3 linked regions of the Rhinolophus ferrumequinum genome follow. The protein of the gene in region 3 binds, or shares a complex with, the protein of the main gene of each other region. Links are inferred from orthologs where the notes say so. Each region holds a gene or a part of one and is shown on either strand. Other genes may lie near its edges.

Evidence for each region.
Region 1: CNOT6L (region 3) and CNOT9 share a complex: the UniProt entries of both Homo sapiens proteins name them as parts of the CCR4-NOT complex. The link is inferred for Rhinolophus ferrumequinum from reciprocal best matches to the Homo sapiens genes CNOT6L and CNOT9.
Region 2: CNOT6L (region 3) and CNOT11 share a complex: the UniProt entries of both Homo sapiens proteins name them as parts of the CCR4-NOT complex. The link is inferred for Rhinolophus ferrumequinum from reciprocal best matches to the Homo sapiens genes CNOT6L and CNOT11.

The regions. Positions count from the first base shown.
Region 1 is NC_046291.1:16,770,547-16,778,528, forward strand, and holds the start of CNOT9 (CCR4-NOT transcription complex subunit 9), read right to left. Parts: upstream 3,024-7,982; 5' UTR 2,882-3,023; coding exon 2,858-2,881; intron 1-2,857. UniProt on the Homo sapiens protein: Component of the CCR4-NOT complex which is one of the major cellular mRNA deadenylases and is linked to various cellular processes including bulk mRNA degradation, miRNA-mediated repression, translational repression during translational initiation and general transcription regulation.
Region 2 is NC_046296.1:3,473,436-3,480,849, forward strand, and holds the start of CNOT11 (CCR4-NOT transcription complex subunit 11), read right to left. Parts: upstream 3,095-7,414; 5' UTR 3,019-3,094; coding exon 2,502-3,018; intron 1-2,501. UniProt on the Homo sapiens protein: Component of the CCR4-NOT complex which is one of the major cellular mRNA deadenylases and is linked to various cellular processes including bulk mRNA degradation, miRNA-mediated repression, translational repression during translational initiation and general transcription regulation.
Region 3 is NC_046288.1:33,656,797-33,663,731, forward strand, and holds the start of CNOT6L (CCR4-NOT transcription complex subunit 6-like), read right to left. Parts: upstream 3,076-6,935; 5' UTR 2,994-3,075; coding exon 2,989-2,993; intron 1-2,988. UniProt on the Homo sapiens protein: Has 3'-5' poly(A) exoribonuclease activity for synthetic poly(A) RNA substrate.

The sequences.
Region 1 (7,982 bases), on a different chromosome or scaffold from region 3:
TACTTGCCAAAGAGGAAGGCTTCTGGGAGTCTAGCACAACTTCAACAAAAAGATATAGAATAACTAATGACGGTGCCCATTAGGTGGAAAGCGAGGCAAAAACAAGGGTTTAAAGATGTTAGAATTGCCAGTAGAAATTCTACTGGGGAATCAGTGGGGAATATTTTTAAAAATGCATACCCAGAGCATCTCATAAGGGCTTTCCTTTGGTTGTTTTAGATCACTAGCATATCATTCATTACAGAAGACCCACAGTATGTGAAGATATGTATAATAATTCTATTAATCAACCTCCAAGGTCCATAACAAAGTGATTTGTTACTCTGTTGAGGCAGGAACTAGAGTCCCAAAGCTGAACCTAGGAGCAAGCCATTTAACCAGTGAGTGAACCTAGCCAACCACTGATCACTCTGTTATTATTTCATCTTTAAATAATCCTGTGTGTATTTGTGTCCTTATTTAATAGATGTGAGAAATTACATTCTATGGTGGCAATAATGAAGACGTTAGAATGTATTCTGTAAAGAATGAAAGGTCTATCATACCATACATTTCCAGTATAATACTACTCAAGTCAAAATTTAAGATATTTCCCAAATTATCTCAAATCCTCCCTATTGTGAATGAAATCCTGCATTCACATGTGATCACATTCTCCTTTGACAGTACTATCTCCCTAGCTGAAATGATGAATTACCTGTTATTTTAAAAAAGATAAAGGTACACACAGATACAAATTTTCATCATTAGGCAAAAAGTAATAATCAAGTTGCTTAGATTACTGCAGGCACTGGTGCATGTATTAACTTTTCTCAATTTCTAGAGAGTGACAAACACCATTACTGTCCCTTTACCCAGATCAGAATAAAACAGGCAGTTTAGTCTAATGGAAGGCATGCGCTTCAGTCTCCTCACTAACCAAATATTCTAGTGAATGAGTGGTAGAAAGTAACTTGTCAGAGCTTTCGTGTGGTCTAAGCAGCACAACAAATGAAAGTATATCTAAAAGTTCAAATTTTAAATAAATGTATTGTCAATCTAATTGAAGAAACATGTATTGAGTACTTACTTATAAGTAATGAACCACAGCTTTAATGGCTGTTCAAAAGATGAATTACAGGGAGCAAATGAAAATAAAAGAAATTGAATAGGTATGGGTATAGAGTTTGGGGAGGCACAGAGAAAAGAGCAGCTTGGCATCAAAGTGTGGCGAACACACGATCAGATTTTGAGAGATGGACAAGCCAACCTTAGAAGAATTTATTTACCTTGTCCCTCCCTACTAGCAGAAACCTCATCTTCTGACTTGCTTCTTCCAAATTATACATGTAATGTGCGAGAAGAAACAAAAAAGTTGGGGAAATTGCAAACACCCAATTGAGAGATATAAAAGGTACTTCTCCACTTTGACTAGTTACAAACACTTAGAAACATGGTGACAGGAGGCAGAGATGCCACTGGCTCTGGAAATGACGTTTTCTCTAACCTAATTACACAGCTTCCTTTTTATATTTAAAGGCAATTTTTTGGGTTCTCTATTTCGTATTTGTATCATTTTGCCTACTAATGCAACTTAAGTATATTATTCTCTCATTAAGTCACTTTACCTCTGTGAAACAGAAAAAGTGGGGTGGGCATTTACAAAAGTGTGCTCAAATCATATGATCCCATTTTCCCACTGTGGCTATGTGTTCTCAGTAGCCACCTCCTTCATCTGCACCCCTCATTCAGCAAAGTACCTGAGCCCTTACTTTATGCCAGGAACTGTCCTGGATCTGGGTTACTATGTAAACAAGACCCACATGATCCCTGTCTCTGTCCTCAAGAGGGAGACAATCAACAAGCAAATAAATACAAAAAAATTACAAATTGTAATCAATGCTGTAAAGGATACTTGAAAAGTAAAGTTGGAGGTTACAGAACTACAGTACTTTAAAAAAGACGGTCAGGGTCGCCCACTCTAGGGAGATTTGGCAGAGACCTGAGGGAAGCCAGCTATGCCCACATTGGGGGGAGGGGTGTGTGTGTGTGTGTGTGTGTTTAAGTTGGAAGAGCATTCCAGGAACAGAGATCAGAAAGTGCACTTTGGAGTTGAAAAGCACACCAGAAGGGATGGTAGACGGGATGTCCAGTGTAACTGGAGCCTACCGGGCAAGTGACATAAGACAAGACTGTAAACGTGGGTAAGAACCAGCGAGAGTCTTGTCATAGCGAGGACTCTGGATTTTATCTAAATGCAATGGGAAGCCATAGGATTACACTAGACAGGTGAACTACCCGATCCATTTTGGTTAAAAGACCACACTGATAAAACGAGATGTGTGAGGAAAGGTTTTAAGCGCAGAGAACCGTAAGTCAGACACGATAATTATTCACTTCTCTGGGTCTCAGATTTTCCATCTGCAAAGCAAGTGGTTTTAACTAGAAGCCATTTCCTTTCCGCTGCGATGTGCCTAGGCAGTCAGTTCCGAGAGCCCGGGGCCTTGTCAAATCGATCACAGAATTACCCTCATCCCCGCCGACGCTCGGAACGCAACGGGCACCCGGAAACTGTTGGTCAGGGCAATGAATCAATGAATGGCCAGTCCGGGCCGCGAGGGAGGCGTTCCGGGCGCGCGCAGGCCCCAGGCCGGAAAAGAACGCGAAATGCGGCGCGAGAGGCCACAAGTGCCGGTGGGCGAGGAAAGTAGGGGGTGGCTTCACCGCGACCAAAGCGCGGCGAGGAGGGGGGGCCGGGGCCTCGTGGGTTGAGAGCAGAAGTTGGACTCCAGGCTCCACAGAGGGAGCTAGGAGAGGAGGCCGAAACGCAGGACTGAGGAGGGGTTCTGGGCCCAGGCTGGGCGGCGCACCCACTCACCGCAGCCGTCGCCAGGCTGTGCATGTTGGGAGCGGCCACCGCTCTCCAGCCACCGCCGGACGCGCCCGACCCACGTCCCAGCTTCAGCGACTCTGCCGCCAAAGAGCTGCCGCAGCCGCCATCCGCCTCCGGCTCGCTCCGCCCCCTTCGCAGCCCTATGACCTTTCACCCCTGACACCGCCCACAATCCTCTTCCCCCCTCCTAGCTCTCCACGGAGTTAGTCCTAAAGTCTGTCCTTTGTCGCTTAAGATTCAGGACCTGAAGGACGTCCGCCTCCTATTAGTCCTGGCATTCCCCGCAGGCCTCCCCAGAGAGGGGAGTGAACTCTGACCCTCCTCCGGAGGCCAGTGAAGGGCGGGAAAAGCAGGGCAGTCCCCGAAGGAGAAGTAGTACGCATGCCCGACTGGGCTGAGTAAGATGGAAATGGTGGGAAGTCGAAAATGAGTGAGTAAGAAATGCGCATGCGTCCTGTAGTCAGATGGGGCGGGGCTGCCTTGGCGAGACTTCGCCGAGTGCTGGGGCGGGGCGAGGGCGTGGAGGGGCGGAGTTTGCATTCCTGCGCGCACGCGCCCCGTCCGGTCGCGTAGAGTGTGCGTGCGTGCGTTGCGTGTTTGCGTGTGGTCACAGTTCCCGCCATCAGCCGCTCTCCCTGAGTCGGGGGGAGTGAGCTGTCCCTCTCCTCCGTGCCGGGTGTCCCTTCCTTCCTTCCCCCCCACTTTTCCCCCTCCGCGCGGACTCCGTGCTTCCGGCGGGCCTGTCCCGGGCTCAGGACTCGCAGGCACAGGTAAGGCGGGCCCAGAAAGCTTCTCAACTGAGCGGTTTTCCCCAGCGGCTTCCCCCCCACCCCCGGTCCGCCCACTCGGCGTTCACTCTTCTGGAGTTCGCCCCGCTGCTGCTCAGCCTGCCCCCATCCACTCGACGCTCCCCTGGCCTCACCGGTGCTGCACTTGGGGCTTCCCTCAGGCTTTTCTTCTCCTTTGACCTGGTCTTGACTGTTACTCGCCCCCTCCGCAGCCGGAACCTCCCCCATTTCGCTGGGGGCTGTCGGCGTCCGCCACTCGCCCCTTAGCGAGGCCTGCTGTCTCTAAAAAGAGGACCTACGTTGCCGCACATCCACAGGCCTTGGACATGATTCTCTCACTCTCTTGACAGTTCCTCACCTTCTTTCCTCTCCTAACCATCTCTCACTAAAACGCATGAATTGTGTTCTTGTCGTGCATTTGGTTGCTCCCCATCTCTAGCCATCAGTTCAGGTTGTCAGCTTCACCTGTTTTAGGGCATGAGCCATGAAAGGAAATGATAATTGATGACAAAATCCTGTTTTCTGGAGACTTGGCCTGTAGTGGCTTTGTGGTAGTTCTTTCAAAATTTTGGCTCTGTACATGCCTTTTGGGGGGTGACAGTATCTGACAAGTAGCTAACTGGAAGAGATACCTAAGAGAGGATGTCAAGTTAGCAGTTGGATATATTGGTTTGACGCTCAGAGGAGAGTTCTGGGCTGGAAGTATAGATAAATGTATATATGTCATCTGCCACGTTGATGGTAATCAAAGCCATGGATGTGGATGAAATTGCCTAAAGCGAGTATAACGCTGGAAAAGGGGATCTAGGATGGCTCACTGAGGGGTTCTTGACGTTTAATAACTGGATAGAGGAATACAAGTCTGGTAAAGAGATGGAAGAAGTAATCAGTAGTGTTGCATTTTGCTGAAAGATGAATGAGGACTGAGAAGCCCAGTGAAATCAAAGTAATCGATGGTCATGGTGAGAGAGGTTTAATGGAGTAACATGGAATATCTTGGTTCAGTCGTAGGCCCTGTTCTTTTTGCTCTTCCTTTTCCACCCTAAGCTTTGAATTCTACCTATATATTGATGACTTAAGAACTTTTATTTCCAGCCTCTTCCCAAAAGCTCAAGATCTATTATAACTAGCCCCCATTTGCTTGACATTTCAGCTTGATTTTTTTCCTTAGAGATTTCAAATATAACATGTCTAAAACCAAATTCTTAATCTTTCTCTCCATATCCAAATTCTTTCTCCAGTATCCCGTTTCATTAAGTGGCATATCCATTTATCCACTTACATAGGCTAGACACTTGAAAGCCATTCTTGACTTCTCCCTCATTTCATGTATCCGTACCCTCTTCAAGTTCTATTTATTCTATTTCCAATATATGTGTTGAATCTATTTCTGTATATCTTTCGTATCACTTTTCCAGTCCAAGCCACAATCCTCATTCACTTGGACTTAATGTCACTGCTAGGTACCCTGTATTCTCATCTGTAAAATGGGAATAATCATCACCTTATTGAATTTTTATGAAGATTAAATGAGATAACTGTGGTAAGAACATGATACATAGTAAACAGCCAGTAAGCATTATTATTGTAATTGTTATAAGCTGAATCACTTTAATACTTTCGTATCTGGTTGTCCTGTTTTCTTCCATTCTTGCTCCTTTCTCCTCCCCAAATTGAAATCACTTCTTTATTCAGCAGTAACATGTCATTTCTCTGCTTAAAACCCTTCTGTGGATTTCCCAATCACTAAGTATTTATTACATTGAGGGTAAAATTCAAAATCATTACTATGCTGTACAAGATTCTGCATAACCTGAGTCTTTCCTGCTTTACTAGCTTCATCTTGCACCATCCTCCTCTCTCTCACTAAACTCTAGTCACACTGCTTTTCATTTCTTCAGTCACACCAAGTTACTTTCTGTCACAGGGCCTTTGCACATTTTGTTCTGTTTACTTGGGTGGTTCCAGCATGACTGTCCTTCAGTGAACTCTTTCTTCAAGTTTCAGCTTATATGGTACTTCCTCAGAGAAACCTTCCCTAGGTGCTCTCTAACCTTTAACCCCCAAGTCTTAAATCAGGGACCCTATTATAATCTCTCATCATGCCCTGCACTTTATATCATCTTTCAGAACTTGTAATTATATGTTTATTTGTGTGGTTATTTAAAGTCTGTCTCTTACTAGAATATAAGCTAGTAACTATTTAATTTCTGTTTCTCAAGAATTGGTTAAATGAGTAGCCATCATGTCTTTTGGAAGGTTACTGATATTCTTGTCATCTGTTGACAAACACCTTTTCTGTCTGCAGACAAATCAAAGGATACAAAAAAAACAACAAAGGGTTTTCCAGCTTTGGACGAATTTTCATTTTTATGTCATAAAATCATTTAGATTTTAGACTCTTTGAATTGGAGATAAACTTTATCTAGGGCAACTTCTCTCTTTCAGCCACAACACTAATTTTATCTTTGTGCAAGAAAGCCCTTAGAAATCAGAGCAGTGGTTTATATATTTTTAAACAACAGGTTAAACTATGAGACCAGCAAGGAGGTTTCCAAAAATAAAGGAAAACATCCTATTTAAGTAAGTTGGTGGTAGATGGGAAGGAAATATTAAAATTTAATAATTTGTGTGTGTGGAACAGGATTTTTGTTGAGAAATAGAAAATAAAACATAGGAAGTGTATGAATGCCGAACAGAGAAGCATTTGGATTCATCTTGTAGGTAGTGATGAGCTGTTAAAAATGTTTGGGAGAAAGTTTCAATTAAGCAAGCTGAAAAGTTGAATAAGGTCTAGCAATATGCTGTACAACATGGTATCTGCAGTTAACAGTGCTGTGTTGTATACTGAAAAATTTGTTAAGAGGATAGATCTCATGTTAATATTCTTACCACAATAAAATAAAATTTTAAAAATGTTTGGGAAGGAATCAGCATCAATAGCAAGTATTTAGCACATACTAAGTGCCTGTTATTTTGTTGGAGTACAAAAGAAGGTAGGACAGGTCCTCCCCCCCTCCCACTTTTAGGGAGAAAGTTAAGGAGGCAGTGTATATTCTCCTTGATAGGAGATAAAAAGAGTAGTTCTTTAGAAAGGGTAAAGATTCATTGGATGAAAAAATCCTGAGGGAATGGAGACTGGAAAGTGGTTGCTGCAAATCATTGATGAGGATGCAGTATGGTAGTAGTTAAAAACGTGGGTTCTGGTGGTAGACTGTTGTCTCTTACTGACTCTGACCGTAGGTAAATTATGTAATCTCTCCAAGCCTTGGTTTCCTTATCTGTAACAGAGAGATAATAGTAATCCCTATCCTTTAGGATATTGTGAAAATTAAATGAGATAGTGCATGTATGGAGCTTAGCACTGTGCTTAGTAAATGCTGCGTAATAAATATTAGGTTGGAGTGATGGCAAAGTGATGTGTTTCTGAATTAGGGTAGTAACTAGTATGAAAAGACTGGGTTTTAGATAAATGCGAAGAGGTTAAAGCTGATGCTAGGATGTTTTGCTTGAATGAAAGGGGAAGGAGAAGTGGAGAGAAGTCTGGGGAGCCTCTTGAAGGCATGGGCTGTATAATTTTCACATTTGTATCCATACTAGACTGCTATCAAATTGGAGTAGCTCAGTAAATGATTTTTTACTAAGTGAATAAACGAGTTTAAAGTTGATGTTACAGCTTTCATGAAGGCAATGAGAGATGTTTGAGTTAGAACCGCCTTTAAGTTGAGGCTTAGAGATGCCTAAATTTGAAAAAGAAACCCATAAAGTTAGTTTTGAAAGAAAAGTAAAAACCAGGTTTACTTAACCTTTTGAAATTGTATCAGCACATCATAGAAGTGGTATCTTTAAGACGTAAGACATCATTATGAAACAATGTTTCTGAAGTTAACAAAAGATACACTCTTTTTCACTGCCTTAGTTTCAAAATGTAGCAGGGATAAATAAACCAAGACACAAATTGAAGTGCCGGCTCCTCCTGGGATCCCTTATTTTGCAAGTAGAACTATCCCTACAGTTCTATTGCACTCTCGTGTGTGTGTGTGTGTGTGTGTGTGTGTGTGTGTGTGTGTGTGTATCTTGAGCATTATATTTTAAGTGTTTTCAGTAAGGTGGTTTATGGTTTTTAAATAATCAAAAGGTTAATCTTTGTTGTATAAATGATCACATTTAAAAATAATTTTAATTTTTTACATTGGATTCATTTAAAAAGGCACGCTTATATTTTCTTTAGCTGAGTTGATGGCTTCCGGAGAACTGGCATAGCTGCAGAATATGAGTAGTTCCCAAAGAAGAGTGCATTGCCTTTGGCACAAGAATCAGAA
Region 2 (7,414 bases), on a different chromosome or scaffold from region 3:
AGTTTCAATCATAATTAACTAAATATATACTTTTATTAAAGGTAATTAAATACGTCATTGGAAATGCTATGATTTGTGGCAGTATCAATGAAAACAAGGTTTTTGTAACTATTAAGAACTTTGTTTTTCACATGCCTCAATCCCTGCAAAGGCTAAAGCTTACATATGCAAGCAAAAACAAGTAAGAGAACTCCAGCACTTAGGAATGCTTTTTTTTCTTCTCTGCTGCTGCAGCCACTGCAGAGGTTGAAAAGAAGGAAGCAATCACCAATAACGCAAATACACTTCACACACCTGCTTCAATACAGTGACTGGTTCCTTTGGCCCCGTATTAACTGTTCACCATCCATCCTCCTGCAGCGTCACCAGACTCCGGTGACTCCGTTCCCTCCTCGCCATTCCCTCTCCCTCCTCTCTTGCCTGGACTATAGGACAGCCTTCCTGGTTTCCAAAGCAACCCCTTTTGACTCCTGACCCACCTACAGTCCACACCCCCACTTACCATTCTGCTATATTTCTAGGCACAAAACTGCTCACGTTACTTAACCTGTTTACACAGAATTAAACCCAAACTTCTGCACCATTTGAAAACCCTTCGTAACCTGCTCTGACCCCCTTTCCCGATCTCATCTCTTGAATTCCCCTCCAATGCCTGTATCCTACACTCCAGCTGCACAAAATCAGCTTCTCTGATTCTGGATTTCAAAACATCCAACAGAGCAAGTTCTTTGAAGAATACCTGGCAGGGCCACCCCTTTTCCTCCCCGCCACCATCTCTAACAGTTACACACTGGAGTTTGCTCTGTGCTACTGAGCATTTGGTATGTGACATGTAGTACAGCCCTTACCACACTGTGTTATGACTATGTTTATGTCTCCCCAACCAGCCTACACGCTTCTTGGGCACAGGGAAGCCTTCTGATTTACTTCCAGATACATTCTCAACCCTGGCTCTGCATGAGAATCATCTGAAAAACTTTTAAAAATACACTCCTTAGACACTCTAGGTGTACAATGTCATGAGCTTTGGCACCGATATTCCATTTATTTTTAAGCACCATCCCTACCTGCTTTAATGAAAGTAATGATGATAATGGGTAATACTTATTGTGACTACTTTTATTCCTAATAACTCTACCAGCAAGGAATTACCGGCATTTTACAGACGTAGAAACTGAGGCATAGAGAGGTGAAATAAGCCATCCATGGATTCCTTCCCTGGCCCATTTGTTTACAACGCAGTCTACAGTCTAGATCTAGGTTTCGACTCATTGCATTTGAGAACGACAGTATATAAATCATGGTTCTTTTGTCTAGCTCATGCAAAGAATTCAAAGGGCCCTGTGACCTAAATCCGTCAGTGTCCCCATCCTCTATGGGCTCCGTATGGAGGTGGGTTTTGACCACTCATACACATATTGCATTCACTTTCTGAGTATTCTCAAACTTCAGGACTGTACCCTAGGGGCATCTCACCCAACAAAAAAGTTGCCCCTCGTGGATAAGGGCAGTGCAGGAAACAAACCAGAAGACGCTCTAGATCCAGAGGGATGTCAGGCAGGACGACAGACTAGCTTAAAATGTAAAAGCCCTCCTGCACCATGAAAAACTGCATGGTATTAGCTCAAAATCTGCTGTCTTAGCCTTTTGACTCCTTGTAAAGCAGCCCTGCCTATAGAGTGATTTGCCCTTTACCCACGGGTGAAGGACACCAGGTTAAGGACTGGAAGATCAAGCTGTTTCCCACCTCTAACTACCTGGGCGTCCCCCATGACACTGGTCCTTCTCTAAGTCTTCCAGGTACCGTTATACTTGTCACCATCCCCTCTGTGCCTTTCTCCTCTCCTGGCTGCAAGTCTTCTCCCAAAGTCAAGTCTCATAAAGCATCTCTTGAGTTAAAAATAAAATTAAATAAGAGGCAGCCTCGCATGGGGCCACTGATCTGATCTTACCAATGTTGCACACAGTTCACATAATGCGTTTTCTGACCTCGGCGGTGAATTTGAAACTATCTATCCTCTGCTCCCATCACATTATCCAAGGGCACCTAACAGTCCAACAAAGATGGCTGCAAAGTCCTTAAAAGCTGTTTAATGTGTTTCCACCCAAAACTTCGGGTTCTGAACAATGGCCTCTACTTACTCGTCTGAAAGTTAAAGCCAGGGACAGATCGGTGGGTCACTAGTTACAATTTCACACCCCTCAGACAAGCTTTACAAGAACGAACTGTATTTAAGGTACTAAAAATGTCAAGCCCCCCACTGCGCTGCATAATTTGAACGGCCTGTACTACTGAGAAAAATCATCTTCGATGCCATGAACTTGTAATTAAGCTACCACTTCTCCATACTTTAAAGGTGGGGGAGGCAGAGATAATTTCAAAAGGAGAGCTCATTTCACTTTCGGGGCAATTTCCGACAGCGCAGGTGGAAAACCGACGAACCTAACTATCCACAACGCACACCGGGCTCCGGGAGCGAAGGGCCGGCCGCGGCGCTTACCCGAGAGCGGTGGCCGGTCCGGCTCCTGGCCGCCGCGGGCGGGCGGCGCGGGGTTGAGCAGGTGCGCGAAGCTGGCGGCGAAGGGGTTGGCGGCCAGCGGCTCGGTGCGGTACATCTCCCACAGCAGGTAGAGCGCCGTGAGGCGCTGCGCCGCGCTGGGCAGCAGGTCCGGCTGCTGCAGGAGCATCACGAGCACAGAGCCCAGGCGGAAGTGGTCAGCCTTGCTGAAGTAGTGGTGGAAGGCGGTGGACAGGCCCTCGAAGGTGGTGCCGCCGCCCGCCTCCTCCGAGATGATGCTCAGCAGGCTCGAGAGCTCCTTCGGGGTCAGGCTCATCCTGCCCGCAGGGCCCCCCGGGCCTCCACTGCCCGGCCCGGGGCCTCCTGCTCCGCCTCTGCCGCCGCTGCCGGAGACCCCCGGGCCGCTCCTGGACGCCGCCCCCACCGCTTCTCGGGCCCCTCTTTGCTCCGCAGCGGTCAGAAGCCGGCCAGACGCCGCGCTCGCCCCGCCGCCGGGCATCAACCTCTCTCGCCTGTCCCGCTTCCCGGCCGGAGTGGCCCTAACGCCGGCTCGCTCCGTCCCGCGGCCGTAAAGCGCGCTGTTACACGACAGCGTCGCAAACCAAACTCGTCGGGGAAGCCAGGGCGTCGCAAAGGGCTGGGCAGCGCGGAGCGAAAGCGAGGCTGGTGGAGCGAAGCCAAGGAGAGGATCCGGAGATGGGGTGGGCGGGGTCAAGAGGCCGGAAGTGGGGGCGGGCCTGCACGGTTCCGCTCAAAAACTGCGGGGGTCTACGTGTTGAGGAGTGAGTTCCCGGCGGAGTTCCGGGCACCAGGTGGTCCCACTAGCTGGGGGCTACATTGTTTGGAAAAGTGCGTCTTAGATTGTAAATGGTTTTCTTAATATGACATACATGACTCTTGGTGGTAAAAAAAAAAAAGTTAAGTGCAAGTCACTAACACATTACTCATAATCAAAGTTAATTTCCAGTTTTACACTCCTTTTTGCAGAAATGGAATCATATTGCACAGGAGCGTTTGTACATCGTATTTTAACAAGATTTAGGAGGAATGTTTCCAGTAAATATTTACAAAATTGTGCAACTTTTTACATAGTTTGCCCTAGGACGCTGATTCTGGGCCTTGGCTGCTTGTTGGAAGCCCCAGGGCGTCTAAAAATGCTAGTGCCTGGTCCCACCCCCAGAGATGTTGACTCAGGTATTACAAAACAAAAACCAATCACCTCCCCAGGTGACTAGCATGCACTCTGGTCTGAGAACCACCTTGTTTCCCAGACTTGCCCAGCTTCTCCCTGGATCCACAGAAACCTACAGGCACATTTCACCATTAGTTCCCACCAGGTGAGTTTGGGAAATCCAGTGTGCACTAAACAGTGCTAGCAGTTTAAGAATTATTAAATTAAGCACCAACTTAATTGTAAAGTAAAATTGAAGGGAGAGAAATTGCTGCGTGACCACCAGCATATTCTAAAGGCTTCTTTAATTTACTGCTAGATTACCCTCTAGAAAGTTCCTGCCAATTGACATTCTTAATAGCAACTGTTAAAAAACAAAATTTAAATCTGAAGATCTAATTGGTTTCATTGAGCAGATTCATGAACCAGGCAGCATCCCATCTAGTAGTAAATAACAGAGAAGTGCTCCAAGGGGCTGTACAAAATTGAAGGTTTTTATAGGAAACTGAGTGGGACAAGAAAGTTATTAGCAAAAGAAAACAAAGATTGTTTCAGGCAAGGTCATCTATCTTTGGAGGAAGGCTGACAGGGTTCTTATCAGACAGATTACCTCACAAGTGTTGATCAGGAAATTCCAGACTGATTGGTTTATGATCACATTCCTGAGCCTACATATGTAAGTTTAACTTTTTTTTTTAAGATGTTTCAAAATATTGAAACATTATAATAACCCGCCTCTACCCCCAGAACTTGTGAAAGAGAAAACCACATGCCAAAATGGCATCACTCATGCTAAAAGCCCATGATACCAAACCTTGATTTAATACCTGACCTAATTGCTGTTTCAACCTCTCTCAGAAATGTAATCTTAATCAACCAGTCTGGAATTTTCTGGTCAAGCACCAGCAAGGTAATCTTTCCCTCAGTCATCTCCATTCCCCCATAGAAAGAAGAGGCAATCAGCATGATAAAAACTCTTTCTCATTCTCTTTCCCCTCAAAAAATGGCCCAGCCCCAAAACAATCCTTTTTTTCCTTCTATCAATAGCTCCCTTGGCCTACCATTCCTGTAAAAGCCTTCCATTTTGCACATTCCCTCTGAGTGGCCTTCTAGTGGATAGATGGGATGTTGCCCGATTCATGAATTGCTTAATAAAGCCAATTAGATCTTCAAATGTACTTGACGTTTGCTTTTTAACAAACTGCTTTTCTTTAGGAACACTTTCAAAATTAAGATGATAGCCAGAGCTTCCTACATATTCCCTGAAAACAACTCTCAGGCCCTGAATTAGTTTCCTGGTAACCACAAGCTGGGTGGCTTAACCCAATGGAAATGTGTTCTCTCACAGCTCTGGAGGCTAAAAGTCCAAAATGAAGGGGTCAGGAGAGCCATGCTCCTTCTAAAGGCTCTAGGGAAGAATTCCCGCTTGTCTCTTCCCAGCTTCTGGTGGTTGTCAGCAGTCTCTGGTGTCCCTGGTCTTATGGCTGCACCATTCCAACCTCTGCCTCTGAGGTCACTTAGCCTTCTTCCTCGTGTGTGTGTTTCATATGACCTTCTTATGAGGAAACCAGTCATTGGATGTACGGCCCACCCTAATCCAGTATGACCTCATCTTTACTAATTATATCTACCAAGACCCCATTTCCAAATAAGGTCACATGCTGAACTTCCAGGTGGATATGAATTTTGAGTGACACTATTCACCCCAGTAGAGGCCCTAAGTTCTCCTGAGCATATGGCTTGGTAGTTCTTCTTCACATCCAACTCATTTCTACCTTTATATTTGTTAACCTAAAAATAAAAGGCCCAAGTGAGAGACAGCAAACATTTATTTGAGACCAAAAGAATAGCAATTTGGGAAACACTGATGCAGACAGAACCCCAAATAGTGTTCCTATCAGGAGATTTGGAGGCAAAGGCATGGGGTGTTTATGAGAAACGGACAGGACAGGCACATCAATAGAAGGAAGGCATTTCTATTGGTGAAGGTAACCAAACAACAGAGTGATGTTCATTCTAAACAATGTTTATAATTTTCAGTCCAGTTGTTATCAGTCATAATATCTGCTTTCTTGTTCTCTCTCCAAATTCTTCTTTGGTCTTGTCTACTCCACTGGCTGGGGACCCTGACTTGAGTTTGCCAGATCCTTTAGGGTTTGGAGCTCAGTTATGGCTGCCTGTAGAGTTGGTCAGTGTGGGGACAGAGCCCCAGAGAGCAGTTTCCAGGCTCTCGGCCTCATGCGGAAAGGTGCTGGCTCAGGTAGTAGATGGCCGTCAGCTGTGGCTGGTTGGCCGTCGGCTGTAACCATTGAGCCATTGGCCACTAATATAACTGCCGTGGCTGCGTTGGGGAGTCGAGGAGAGTGGAGGGAGGTCAGAGAGTCGGTCGGTTGGCAGAAAAGCGGACAGCAGGTCGCAGGTCGTGTGAATCCAGCCTCCAGTGAGACTATAATGGTATGACTCCCCTTCCTATGGCTCCGTGGGTGTTCCTTTTTGGCCTCACCATGTCCTGCATTCTTCTTGTGTGGGGAGCGGGAGCTGAGACCCCGCCTGTCACCCCGCGTGACAGTCAGTTTTCCCCAGCTGGCTCCAGGACTGGCAGGTCAGAGCTTATTGTAGTTCTGTGGTCTAGAGCTATCAATATGACCCAAGATGAGGGTGGGACTGCTTAGGACACTGAACACGTAAAGGTAAGACATCTTTGGCCTAATTTTTAAATTAATACTAGAAAGAATGTCAGTATTTCAGAGATCTTTGTACTACGTGGATGAGGTGCCTTGAGAATTCAACTTTTACTGATGAGGTTAGCAGATTAGATCTAATGATATAGCAAGGGTCCCAAATCATTTGATTTCATTGTAACTGTTGGTCAGTCCTGAAGATGGAGCTCATTGTTGGCATTGGCAGGCTCAACATGTCCATGGCATACACAGCCATGTCAGTCACTTTTTTTCTCAGATCTAAGCTTTTTTGATGCTCTCACGTTTCCTCCTTTTCTTCCAACGATCAGCCTCTGAAGGGGTAGACAGCAAAAATCCAGAGATCAAAGCATGCACAGGCATCCTGGCCACCGTTGTACCATGCACGTATGTGACATTTTGCCTCCAGTCATGCTGGTCATAGTAGACAGCGCAATGCCAAGATAACTTTAGATCACACATACCAAATTGAGTACATCTAGGACATAGCAAGACTCATCAGCTTCTCCTCTGAATATTGAGTTGGCTTTTGCAGAAAGCAAGTCACACATTTATTATAATAAATAATAACCCCCACCCCGAGTTTCCTTTCCTGGGTAACAGAGAAAATCCACAGGAAAGCGTCCCCCTGCCTCATCTGATCTATCCTGAGAAAGAGGGGAGTTTTCTTTTCTTTTTTCTTTTCTTTCTTTTTTTTTAAAGAATTAATCTTTCTTTGTGGATTGTTTTAGCATATTTATTATAGGGCCTGTAATTTAGGAAAACCTCTAATCTTAGTCTCTAAATGGCTGGTGGGGCTTTCAGAAAAATAATTTGGTAATATGCACTAAGAGTCTGAAAAATATTGATATCCTTTTGTCTAAATAATTCTATTTCTGAAAGGCTATCTTAAAGAAATAAGAATCAGGAAAGCCCTTTTGGACGAGATAGTCACAGCATTTATTGTCATCAGCAACACCTAAATGTCCAACAATAGGGAATAACTACAGCAAATCTACCAGCAGGAATATTGTAAATGTTGTTTA
Region 3 (6,935 bases):
TACTATAATTCATAATGTCTAGTGAAAATTGCCGAATACCTAGTTAAGGGCAAAATTCTATTCAATTGTTTCTAAAGAATCAAAAATTATCATTTATAATTTTTAAGGTAATAATTCTTCCTTTAAATATAACTATATGACAGATAATTCTGTTTGTTGTAAATGATGCATTACCTATAACACACTTTAACAAAACCGTGATATTTTGCATTCTAATAAAGTTGTCCCTACTATCCTTCACAAAAATTCTTCACAAATTTGTTGAAATTTTATTGCTTTACTACTAGGCTTTATTTAGTTATTTAGTTATTTATTTAAAGCTTAACACTGCTGATAAAAATAATGATATTAAGATCTAACTGGGAAACTTGGCATTAGTAAACAAACTGTCATACAAACTTAAGCCAATGAAACTTCTCCTATCTTCTCTTCACTCTGCCTTCACCAATAAAAATAAAAAAATTTTAGAGAGAGAGAGAGAGAAAGTAAAAGAAGAAATCATTTAACTTCTGTTGCCTTTGCCTTAAACTCCACACCATTATTTTTTCCATCACAGTTAAAATTAAATGAACAGAACATTTACTACTCCACGCAGAATAAAAAAAAAATGGAAAATTATTGAAAGTCGATAGACAATTTTTGCTTCCATTCAGGAAAATATTCCAACAGATTTTGTTTACCAGAATCAATCAACATAAGCTAAAAGAATTACATACCAATTTTTGTATCACTTATACTTTGTGGACCTATATAAAGTAAACTCTAGTCTTTTGAACCTTTTTAATGCTTGATTGTATTGGAACATGTATATGCTACACATAGCTTAATAATTTTTTTCCAGAGCTACACAGCAAGAACTCATAAAAAGTGTAATGAAACTGAGATATGGTCCACTGAAAAATACGAAAAAATATTAAGCATGGCTGTGTAGTCTCTACCTATAAACTACACTAAGTATTTCAATGAGTCTCATTTCTAGAAAAAAAATTCTAAAATACAACATTGAAAGTTGTTTATATATACCTTATATATATCAAAGGACTCTCAAATGTTCTGTTGTCTTGATTTTTAACTTAGTTACATAATATTGCTCAGTAATTAAATGATTATTTGTACTTATAAACGTTTTCAATGTCCAGGAATGCAGGAGGAGGAACTACTTAACTAAGCATCTACTATGTGCCAAACATATGTTTTCTCATTCTATCCTCAGACAATCATACTATAAATGCATTATCTCCTTGTTGCAGATGAGAAAACAGAGATATAGATATTAGGTGCCTTGCCTAAGGTCAAACAGCTAATAAAAATGGCACAGCCTGAGTTCTGAGGTCTGTAAAACAAGTCCTTGTTCCACTGAACTATGTGTTGTTTTTCCAGTAGTGGTCACACAAAACAGCTCTCCACCTCTCCTGTTCTTACCCCCACTTCTCAGTGAACAGCATGGAACATTTCTTTGTGAGACCAGGTTCAGAAAAGGACCAATCTCTGGCCATTATACAGAGCATGGCCTTTAAGGAAGGAATCTATATGACTTTACCCGTAGGGTTTTAGCTGCATGAGCTAACTAGATGCAAATGGAAAGAGGGTGGAGTAGATAAAGTTAATTAACAAATAATTATCCAAATGACATTTATACTTAATGCTGAAATGCACTGTACACCTATTGGCAAATTTCTCTTTATGGTTGCCTTTTACTTAGACTACTCTCAAAATAGCTTTCCAGGAGCACACGCTGAGTAGACAATAGATGTTGCTTGATCTAAGTTTTGGAGACTGTAAGAAAAAACGTGTTTGTGCACAACTATTTTGAGCGACGACTAAGATAACTGGACGCAATAAGGTAGTATTTCCTAAAATGTAGTACTGTGCTTCCAATGTGTGAAAAGCTCAGCTAAACTGCCAGAACACAAATCCATCTAAACAGCCTAAACACTCGGCAGAGTTAAGGAGGATGACAGCTCCAGTAACTTCCTCTTCCTCACTGACCTCCTCAGCTCCGCGAGTACACGCCTTTCCCCCTAGGAGGCAGGATAAAACAATTTCAAATGCACAAAATCGATCCAATCCCACCAACACCACAAGACAGAGAAGCCAGCTTCCATTTCCTCCTCTGCTCCTCAAAGAAAATTTTTACCTTAAAAAAAAAAAGCATACATCTTACCACCCATAAAGTATTTGCAATGAAAATATTTAGTCCTTCCCAGAGCCTTAAGAAACATATAAAAAGAAGGGATCTCGACAACGCGTATTCCCCAGATTCACTGCTTTGATTCACTTTCCCTTGGGTCCCACAGCCTGCCAGGGGGAGGGCTTGCAGTTACAACGCCAAAATATGCCTTCGCCTCTCAGGAGACGCGGGGGCGGCTGCAATTGGCACGTCCCGCCTCCGACCCTCACCTGCCTAGGCCCAAGACAAGCACCCAGGGCCCGCGAGTCTCAAGCGGCGTCCCGGGAGGCCGGTGGGAGGCAGGCGGACGGGCTGGCGCGGAGGCGGTTAGGCCTCGCCGCAGGCCGGCGCGCTTCCTGCCGCGGCCCGGAGAACGGCGGCGCACCCGGCCCCGCAGCTCTCCGGGCCCGGCTGCTGTACGTGTACCGCGCACACACTCACCTTCCCCGCCCGACCCCCGCGGAGTAGCTCTCACCTGCGAGGCTTCGGAGCCTCAACCACAAAGGGGGAGGAACACGCCACTTGGGGGTCCCGGACACACGGATCCCGCCCCCAAAGTCCCGGGCCCTGGGCGCAGACCCCCCCGCCCGCGCACACACACACACTCCCGGAACCTTCGGCACCTCTGACAGACACGGGTCAGTCCCTCACCCGACACACACCCACTCGCTGTGGGTCCTCAGGGCCGCCTCCCCGCCCGCCAAACTCCCAACTCGCAACCCACACGCACATTCGTCTTTTTCCAATCTCATTTCCCCGGGGACGCGCTCCTTTCCCCCACACTCTTGATCCTACTCAGAGGCACAAAAACACTCTACCTCATTCTCTTCCTCTAGCTCAGGAGGAGCAACAGCAGCCATTTCCCCGCGGCAGGGGAAACACACAAACACGCGCGCCCGCGCGCACCAGGCCCCCACAGATGCTTCCCCTCCGGAGCCGCGGCCGCAGACACAAACACAAACACCCACGGGCTGGCCTCGCTCCCGCCCGCCCCGAAAGGAAGCCGACTCGCGGGCGGCGCGCGCGCCGGGCACCAGGGCCTGGGGTCCCGAAGGGCCTGCGCCCCCTCCTCACCTGCATTCAGCGCGCCGGGGTCCGGGCGGCGACGGCGGCGGCGGCGGCGGGGCGGCTGGTGCTGGAGCTGCGGCGGCGGGGGAGGCGGTGGCGGCGGTGGCGGCGGGGCTGAGGGCAGCAAAGACATGCAGGCAGCCCGCCGGGGGGAGAGGCACCGGCCGGAGGGGACGCGGGGCGGGCGGGCCGGGCCGGGCCGCCTGAGGAACCGCAGAGGCGGCGGTGAGGAGGGCGGCTGAAGGGAGATAGGAGACGGACCGGGGGCAGGGAGGGGGACGAGGGCCGCGCTGCCGGGCTTCGGGGACGGTGACCCTGGGAGCGCAGGAGAGGCCCCGCGGCCGCAGTCGCCGACGCGAAGGCCCCCGCCGGAGGAAGCTGCGCCCCCGCAGCCGCCGAAGCTGCGGCTACCTTTCCGAGAGCCGCGCAGAGCCTGGCCTTGGCCTTGGCCTCCTGGCGCTGGAGCTGCCGCCGCTGCGGGGGTTGCTGCTGCGCCTGCTGCTGCTGGGGCCGAGACTGGTACACAGAAACGCCAGCTTTCGGTGCCTTCGCTCTGGCTCACACACGTTCACACCCCCGAAGGCCGGGGGAGAGGCCTCCGGGCGATATCGGTATAGAGATTAATAACAAGGTGCCGAGAGTGCGAGAAGAAGGGTGATTGACGTTGAGGGGCTGGCGGGAGTCAGTCACTCCCCAGCGCCGAGGGGTGGGGTGAGGGGAAGAAGGCGGAGCTTCAGCGCCGCGCCTTGACCCCGCCCCCTGGGCGCCGTGTTTGGTAGTGCTGCGCGTGCGCGCGCGGCGGCCAGTGGTCTTTCCTATTTTCTCCTACTGTTGCTGTCCTCCTACTCTCTTTTCATGGCTTGAATGTGGAGCAGCGCTGGGAAAACTAGTGGAGTATTAAAAAACCACATCCACAAATCCATGGCGGGAAAGAGATTGGCGAACCCACCTCATCCCGTGTTTGTGCGTGGACTCGGCGCTGTTTACCCCACCTTTGCCAGAGGCGGCCTGACAGCGAAGCCGAGCACTGGTCTGGGTGGCTAATGAGACGCCAGGTGAGGTTAAGTGACCGAAGGAATGTTTTCTGACATGTTCAGTGGGTTGTGTGTTTTTTTTTTAATAACATGTAACATCTATAGGTTGTATCGCGAAAGGTAAATAAAAGAAACTGTGACGCTCTGCGATTATCCCGTCTTATTTATTTTCTAATTCTCCCTTCTCGCGATAGCATTACGTTTGGCTACAGAAAGAAAACATCAAAATGTAAACTAGAAGTATTAATGTTTACTGGGTGAACATTTGACATTTTAAGTTTCTGGGGTTTAATTTTGTTTTTGTGGGTCAGCTTTAGCTTTTACCACCAGCAGTCCAGAAACAAATTATACCAGCTCTGGAGACAGAATACTGCTGTTGCAGTTTTGCACAATCCCTTAATGCATGCTCCGAGCTTGTGTACTTAATATTGTTGTTCATGAGTATATTAACAGTGTTCAGTATTTCCTCCCCCCACCCCCCACAGAGGTGTTGTTTAGCACACTAAGCACGTTGTGTTGATTGCAATTAATCTTAGGCCCTATTATTGAATGCAAAATACCTTCCTCTCCTAGGGGAAAAGATAGCGATAAAAATGCAAATCATTTATGCAGAATCGTTCAACTATTAGAGGAGCCTACCTACCACTGCAGAAGAACAATTGCACCACTTTCATCTTTGTTACCTGGAAGAGTGAGTGAGTGAGTGAGTGAGTGAGTGAGTGAGTGAGGCCCCTGAGGAGTTAGAAGACTTCAGGCTACCTTCTTTTCTACCTGTGTTGTTTCCATTTCTCTCCCTAGCAACACGACCCCCATACCAGCTTCTGTAATGGGAGTCAAAATGGCCTTAATCATGGAAGAAGTCCCACTCATTCCCAACTATCTTGAGTTTAAGCTGACATATAATGAATAATTATCTTTGGCTTTGTAAGCAACAAAGGCGAACAAGTCACTTCAGGAGCCCAGAATAGTAAACCTGCCTCAATGGCATCTTGCCACAGCATTTCTCCTTGGTACACAAACAGTCTTCCCCAAGGAGATATACTAGCAAATGTTAAAGAGGGACATAAACACCTAAATATATAAATCAGACGATGGGATATTCTCACAGATTTAAGCTTCTTCAAATACCTATAGCTATATAGAGTCCTAGCTATTCATTCATATATAACAAACAAACATCTGTGGAGGGTGAATTATGTTCCAGACATGGTATTTAGCATCAGAGACAAAGATAAGAATATGTAGTATTCTTAAGTAGCTCACAGTCATTGTAGGGGAAGCAGACACATAAACAGGAAATTCTCACAGGGCAAACCAGAAATGAAAGTATAAAAGGTGACACAAAATTAATAGTCACAACAATGCCGAGGAGGATAAGGCTGATGACACTGGCATTTTCACTTGAGCCATGTGATCCCTGCCACTTTCACAGGCTGACTAGCAGTAGAGAGTGAGGTGTGGAAAGAAGGAGAGCCTTTGTGGATGTTAAAGAAGCACTAATAAATAGTGGGGTTTGCTGGTCCTGAAGCTCAGGTTTATATCCGGGATGTTCACTGTTGGCCTTTAAATTTTAAATAATAAATGCGTCACAATCCATTGAATAATTATAATTGTGACATTCAGAGTTAAGAATACTGGATTTTATTATAAAATGGTCAGTCGAATGCGGGTTAAATTTAAATAATCTCTCCTCTCTGGGTTGCTTTCTATGCCATATATAGCAAATGGATTGACTCACTAAAAGCAAAATGAAAGCAATACTTTTACGTATTATATCATCCAAAAATAGATTGTTGTTTTTCTCATTTGCAATGAGATTGAGATTAAAGAAATAATACTTTTCAAGTAGTTGGCACTGTACAAATGCTGAGAAATTAAATCTTCACTGATATAAAAACAAAACCTTTCTCCAAAGACCCCAACTGAAAAGACATTCCAACAAAAAAGAGTAGCACTTAAGCAATTTTTAAAAGCAGTATTATAGTAGATCAATGTTTGCAATGGAAGAATAACCTGCTTTTCATATTTCATAGGAATTTTTCATGTTTGTTAGAAATTACAATTTTGAATTAAGATAAAATCTAAGAACACCTAAATGTTATTATGTTGCTTTGTATACCTGAAACTAATGGGGGAAAAAAAAGAACTTAATAAAATATTAGGTTGGTGCAAAAGTAATTGCGGTTTAAAAGGTTAAAAATCATTGCAAAGACCGCAATTACTTTTGCACCAACCTAATATTTCTTTAAAGAAGTGATTTATCCAACACTTCTTGCTTAAGTAAGGCTTTTTTGACTAAATTGGTTTAATAGCAGCACTGTGAAGGTACAATTTGTTCTGAAACACTTGTTTATTTGTATTATTATAGAAGAGGTTCGTTCCTTCTCAATAAAAAAAAAGTGCTTAATGTTTTAGAGATCACCTGTGTCTTTTCCAAATTAGAAATTAATATTTGATCTGAGTAAATCTGATCTCTATGTTTTTTTCTGTTGGTAGTACCAGTACCTGGATCTGTAAGATCCCTTATAACTATGTTCCTTTGTTTTCTGAAATTCTGTTGGGCAACTTGCTCAAAAAGCAAAGATTTAAAACTTTTTATTTAAGAATATTACTATTTGATAAAGAATCAATTAAATTCGATTTCGCTGATTTCACTACCCTCT